2 linked regions of the Danio rerio genome follow. The protein of the gene in region 1 interacts with the protein of each later gene in a pairwise test. Links are inferred from orthologs where the notes say so. Each region holds a gene or a part of one and is shown on either strand. Other genes may lie near its edges. The genes, in order: psmd5 and psmc2.

Evidence for each region.
Region 2: the proteins of psmd5 (region 1) and psmc2 interact in binary tests that used the Homo sapiens proteins (3 or more experiments, as listed by UniProt). The link is inferred for Danio rerio from reciprocal best matches to the Homo sapiens genes PSMD5 and PSMC2.

Annotation. Positions count from the first base shown.
Region 1 is NC_133196.1:6,249,147-6,252,973, forward strand, and holds part of psmd5 (26S proteasome non-ATPase regulatory subunit 5), read right to left. Parts: intron 952-3,827; coding exon 838-951; intron 1-837. UniProt on the Homo sapiens protein: Acts as a chaperone during the assembly of the 26S proteasome, specifically of the base subcomplex of the PA700/19S regulatory complex (RC).
Region 2 is NC_133179.1:15,512,722-15,515,960, forward strand, and holds the end of psmc2 (26S proteasome regulatory subunit 7), read left to right. Parts: intron 1-1,524; coding exon 1,525-1,727; intron 1,728-2,094; coding exon 2,095-2,191; intron 2,192-2,290; coding exon 2,291-2,448; 3' UTR 2,449-2,547; downstream 2,548-3,239.

The sequences.
Region 1 (3,827 bases):
TGTGTTGCCTTTTGGACTTATTTCTTACAATTATCAGATGGCATGGCGTGCTGTGTGCACTTAATTGTTCTCACAAACCATTCAAGTGGCCTCTATTTCCCATGTGAGTAAAGTTATATACGTATATGCCATTTTTTAAAATGTTTTTGTTTTATTTAGGATCATTTATAATTCATCAATAGTCCTGCATTTACTAACACAGACTATATCTGAAGTGTATTTGTGTAAGTGTAAGAAGTAATTAGCATTTTCCTCCTGTAGAAAAACGTCATAAGAACAATGTTTAGTGGCTCAATGTGTTACAGCAGTGTTTTTAAAAGACTGAACACTTTATTGATATAGTGTACAGCCAAGCACAAGTGGTCAGAACATAAACGAGTCGCAGGTAATAAAGTATTAAGCGTTTTCCAAATGTCTGTCTAAGCCAGGTCCAAGCAAAATGCCAGCAGGTGTCTGTAGCTCCGCTCACTTTCCGCCTCTTTGCTCTTGTTTGTTTTCCCGCTGTGGGTGCGATGACGCGTGAACAAAATGGCGACGATTGGCCGCGCCTACTTGTGGCTTCTTTTGCATGTTCAGAAACCTATGGGTGACGTCACGGATACTACGTCCATATATTTTACAGTCTATATGGGTTATACTTGTGGCAGGTATTATTTGGTACTTTGGTCAGTTATTTCACTAATTTGGCAACCAGCAAACGTCATCTGGGAAATGGTTTGAATTTCCGCTAAGTAAAAAATCATTAGTGCTTCATTTGGGACGATACTACATACATATATTAGTGCATAGGTACATAGGGCATAGTGTGCCATTGTGTGTCATTGTTTATCTCTGTACCTCTTTGGCCACAGCGATGCGTTCAACACTGATGCACTGAATCACGTCATGCAGGATTTCTACATTGTTCAGCATCTGCGTCACTCCCTCAGCATGTCCAGCCACACGGCCAATCTGTGGACACAGACACAAATGAAAAAAAAAGGTAATGCATTGTGATTCTCCTTATAATGTGCTGACTGCGTTTTTTAAATGTCTTTATAGTTGCACTAAGCTCATTATGGTGGCTTGAAAAGCCAACATACTGTTATCTCACGTAAACTTATTATTAGGCTGGCTTGTCAAAGCCAGACTACTGTTCTACTATTTAAACTTATTATTATTATTAATTTTATTATTATTCTTCTTCTGAGACTAAAATTCAAACTCTATCTACTCCTTGAACTTTCAAGCTATTACCACCAAACTCACACCAGACCTCCAAACTGGTCTGACTCGGTATGCCATATCTCCTCGGACTGATCCAACTTTCGGTTTTCCGAAAAACGTCCCGGGACTGTCGGAAAAATCCCATAGACTTAACATTGGACCAAACTTTGTTACCTCGTAACTCTGCGTCAGACTGTCGCACAGAACTCTAACTGAGCTCATTTAACTCAGACTATCAAACTGCCAATGACTGATCACCTTTAAACTTTCTAGCCACGCCCTAGCAACCAATTTTGGACCCTAGAAACTGTCCCATAGACTTCAATTCAAAAGACTCTCATTGACTTAACATGGGATCAAACTTTGTGAGTTCATAAATCTGAATCAGACTGTCCTACAGACTAATGGCTGAGATCATTTAACTCAGACTACCAAACTGCCAATAACTGATGAGCTTTTACCTTTCTAGCCACACCCCTAACTACAACATACTGCACCCTAGCAGCTGTCCCGTAGACTTCCATTAAAAAAGACTCATTGACTTTACATGGGATCAAACTTTGTGAGCTCATAACTCTGCATCAGACTGTCCTACAGACTAATGGCTGAGCTCATTTAACTCCAACTACCAATCTGCCAATAACTGATGAGCTTTTAACTTTCTAGCCACACCCCTAACTACCACATACTGCACCCTAGCAACTGTCCCGTAGACTTCCATTACAAAAGACTCTCATTGACTTAACATGGGATCAAACTTTGTGAGCTCATAACTCTGCATCAGACTGTCCTACAGACTAATGGCTGAGCTCATTTAACTTAGACTACCAAACTACCAATAACTGATGAGCTTTTAACTTTCTAGCCACACCCCTAACTACCACATACTGCACCCTAGCAACTGGCCTATAGACTGTAATTAGCTGTGCTATCAAATGCTTATAATTCTAACATACTAATGACATGCCAATCATGCTAGCAACATGCTACTCATATGCTAATCATGCTAATGACATGCTAACTCATACTGGAAACATGCTAATGACATGCTAATTTGTTCAAGAATCATGCTAGTAACATGCTAATTCATACTAGACTCATGTTAATAACTGGCCTACATGCATATCTTTGCTTAGCAGTGTCCTATTGACTTGGGGGATGGCTCATCTGACTCAGACAACCAATGAGCATCTCAATATGATAATGAAGCTCACAAGCCACGCCCCCAAATTGATTCCATAGACTTCCATTAAAATAGGCCAAGATGCATATCTTTGCATAGCAGTGTCATAGAGACATGGGGGTTGGTTCATTTGACTTAGACAGCAAACCACAATCAAGTGCACTCTGTAACCTCGCCCATAGCAACAAAACAGAGTACCCTAGCAACCATTCATCAACAGCTATATCTCAGCATCAGAACATCGTAGAGACTTGGAGATTGGCTCGTTTGACTCATGCTAGCAAACGGAACTTCCTAAATGCTACACATGCTAGCAGTGATTAGCTACATGCTAATATTGACTAGCCAAGTACTGTAACTTGCTAGAAATGCTTACTAAGTATAAACGTTTTATCAGGCATGTATGTGAGGCTTGCCTAGTAACCAACCAGGGTACCCTAGCAACTGCCTAGCAACCACCCAAATTACCCTAGCAACCGCCTAGCAACCACCTAGCAACGGCCTAGTAATGCCTTAGTAAGGGCCTAGCGACCACTCAAGACACCCTAGCAACCGCCTAGCAACGCCTTAGCAACCACTCAGAATACCCTAGCAACCACCTAGCAACACCTTAGCAACCACCCAGCAACCACTTGGGACACCTTAGCAACCGCCTAGCAACACCTTAGCAACCACCTAGCAACCAGTCAGAACACCCTAGCAACTGCCTAGCAACGCCTTAGCAACCACCAAGCAACCACTCAGGACACCCTAGCAACCACCTAGCAACACCTTAGCAACCACCTAGCAACCACTCAGGACACCCTAGCAACCGCCTAGCAACGCCTTAGCAACCACTCAGAATACCCTAGCAACCACCTAGCAACACCTTAGCAACCGCTTAGCAACCACTTAGGACTCCTTAGCAACCACCTAGCAACACCTTAGCAACCACCTAGCAACCACTCAGAACACCCTAGCAACCACCTAGCAACACCTTAGCAACAACCTAGCAACCACTTAGAACACCCTAGCAACCGCCTAGCAACACCTTAGCAACCACTCAGAACACCCTAGCAACCACCTAGCAACATCTTAGCAACCACTCAGAACACCCTAGCAACCGCCAAGCAATGCCTTAGCAACCACCTAGCAACCACTCAGAACACCATAGCAACCACCTAGCAACAGCCTAGCAACCGCCTAGCAACATCTTAGCAACCACCTAGCAACCACTCAGGACACCCTAGCAACTGCCTAGCAACGACTTAGCAACCACTCAGAATACCCTAGCAACCACCTAAGCATGCTATGTGACATGCTAATTCATACTAGAATCATGCTAGTAACATGCTAATTCATACTAGAATCATGCTAATAACATGCTAATTCATACTAGAATCATGCTAGTAACATGCTAATGAATGTCAGAATCATGCTAATAACATGTTAATTCACG
Region 2 (3,239 bases), on another chromosome or scaffold:
TAAAGTTCAGTAAACCTCTTGGGGATGTGCTTTAGTAGATTGACACCTCAGGGTCAGATAGTGACTATCTTACATGTTATATTAGCTGTATTTAAATATAAGATATTTAGACAATATCTTGTGCTAGTAACGGAGCACTTCACAGTAAGACCCCCTTAAAATTAAGACATCTCGAAAACTGAATTGTCAAGATATGTTTTTAAATATAAATCAAGCCCTGAGCATTAGTCACTGCAATAAAGATCCAATCGTAGGCTGTGTCTGAAATTGCTCCCTGTGCCCTTAAATAAGGCGCTATTTGAGGTGACATTTGTAGCAGTGTCTGAGACTAAGTTCAATCCTATAATGCATCAGCTGATGTGCTATGAGTGGTTAAAAAACACTCACAATGATCTAAAATAGGCTCATGGCAAATGAATTCCCACATATTACCAGAAGATGGTGCCCAAAGCTGAATCATCTATCCATTTTCCAACCAAATTGTACAATTGTACAAATTTTGAATTCATGAACCCTTTAACTACCCCACCCAGAAATGTTTTTACCCAGCATTTTTTTAACTCCTAATGTTGCAAGTTAACACACTTAATGTTTTTTTTTTTTTCAACATCCTATAATTTCTAAAATATCAGCCTCTACCAAATGATTGAAATGTCGGTTTATGGTAAAAGTACTGGAATTAATACATATAAAAAATCTGAAAATATGAAGTGTAAGACCACTTTATTTCAAAATATTCAAAATAAAACATTTTTGAATACTACATCTTTATTTTTTAAGTATGCCATCAAATATTTTAGATTCTCATTCAATATGCTTTTTTATACAATAAAACCAAATTAAGTGTAGAAGTGCAACAGGATTATGTTTGTTTGGTATTTTTTTTATAAACCAACAATGCTGTAAGACATTATTTAAAACAGTCATTCTTTAAATGACTTTAACAGCCATAATTTAAAACAGTCAATATGTGGTCAACCGTTTTGTTGAGCAGGCAGTTAATGGATTAATAAATTGCATAATTTAGAATTATGTGAACTAAATTTTAAAACAGTGTTGCATTATTACAGTTGCTTCCAGTTTGCTTAGTTTCAAATAATAAACAGCAAGGAACGACCACTAAGGTCATCATTTACTCCTTCAGGTGGACTATATTAGTGAACTAATGAAGGTAGCGGTAAATGAGATAACATTGGGTTATTTTAAACAATTCTATTAAATTTATTGTTATTGTTTTGTTTTTTGTCCATCTAAAAAGATAATTCTGTCATTTGCTTGAATCATGTTGTTCCAAACTTCTTCCTTTAAACCAAAACACCTTATTAGTTTGATAGAAGAAATACAAGAAATAATTATTTTGGCGAGGAAAAAAAACAACAGAGGAAAAATGGGATCTAAAACAGTTACCAACATTCATCCAGGTACTTTATGCCTACTGCTTTATTAGCATACCTTTTGTCTACTATATAATAGGGAAGCCTTAATTGGACACCTAATAACTGCACTATTGCTTTGCTCTAATAGGTGCCCGTTTTGATGATGGCGCTGGAGGTGATAATGAAGTGCAGAGAACGATGCTGGAGCTGATCAACCAGCTGGACGGATTCGATCCCAGAGGGAACATTAAAGTCCTGATGGCCACCAACAGACCAGACACCCTAGATCCTGCTCTGATGAGACCCGGCCGTCTGGACAGAAAGATCGAGTTCAGCCTGCCTGACCTGGAAGTAAGTATTAAACCAATCCAATACAATAGGCCATTTCAATGTGGCGATGTCACTGGCCCATAAACATTTCCTGCTTGTTATAAAACTATTTCATAACTATAACAAGAGGCAATTCAATCATAACTTGAGGGTAAAACCGCTATCATAACATTATTTATCATTATGTGGCTCTATTTGGATTCTCAGAAGCTATAGAAATTAAAAATAGGAAAATGGAAATATGTTGGGACTATTGATTCGTTTACCTCCCTCAAAATGGTCTATAGTGTAAGCAGTGGAAGAATTACAATAGTGACAAGGAAAAACTACTGCTACTTGTCATTTAACATCACATTCTGATTAATATGTAATGATTTGTTTTTTTTAGGGACGTACTCACATCTTCAAGATTCATGCCCGCTCTATGAGTGTGGAGAGAGATATCCGCTTTGAGCTTCTTGCACGACTCTGTCCTAACAGCACAGGTTAGTCCTTACTAGCAAACATGAAAGCACATTATACTTGCAAAGACTTAAAGTTTCCAGCTTAAGTTCACGTTGCTTGCTGTGTTTTTCTCCCCTCAGGTGCTGAGATTCGCAGCGTGTGCACGGAGGCTGGAATGTTCGCCATTAGAGCTCGTAGAAAAATCGCCACGGAGAAAGACTTCCTGGAGGCCGTGAATAAGGTCATCAAGTCTTACGCCAAGTTCAGCGCCACCCCTCGCTACATGACTTACAACTAAACCTCTTGTATGTGCTTTTCTGTTTGTTTTCTGCCTGATATAATTCAAAGATTCCTGTCGTTCTGTGATGTCACGTATCCAATAAAAACATTATCCATACTAGATGTCCTCTGTATTATTTTTAAGAAAAAATATTCCCTCAGAAACGTCTTTCACACACAAACTAGCAAGTGAAAGAGGGTCTAATTTGTAAGTTGGCATTGAAAGCTATTTTATACCCATTTAAAAATATATAAATAAATTGGAAGGCACTTTTAAGGAATAAACATTTAATAATTTAGAGTTGTGATTTGCATTTATTATACAATAAAAAATATCCTAAATTCACAAATGCATAAAAAGACAATAAAATACACTGCCGTTGCAACTGATTGTTGAACTTTGGTCTTCATTACCCCCCAATAAAACAGCATCTAAATATTAGTACAGAATAAAATATATATATTTATAAAATCCTTATGAGCACAAAGAGTGCCCGGAGTGACCATTTCATAGGCAGTGTCTGCGTCAAACATCAGAGACTTCATGTAACGCTTCATGTGATGTCTGCTGCTTGAAATGCGCTGTTTCAATAATCAATAACCAAGAACACTTTGTGATAATAATGTTTTTTGAAGTCACACAAAGAAAATAAATACAAACAGTAGGTTCAAACTAACCCTGGTGTGACCTAGATAAACTATTAGCCAAAAAAAATGTCACCGATTGAACTAAAGGGGCTGTAAAACCCTAAAGCGAAAAAGCACAATCAATATCTGGCAGCAAACGAAGTTGTTTTTCTCAGAAACGTC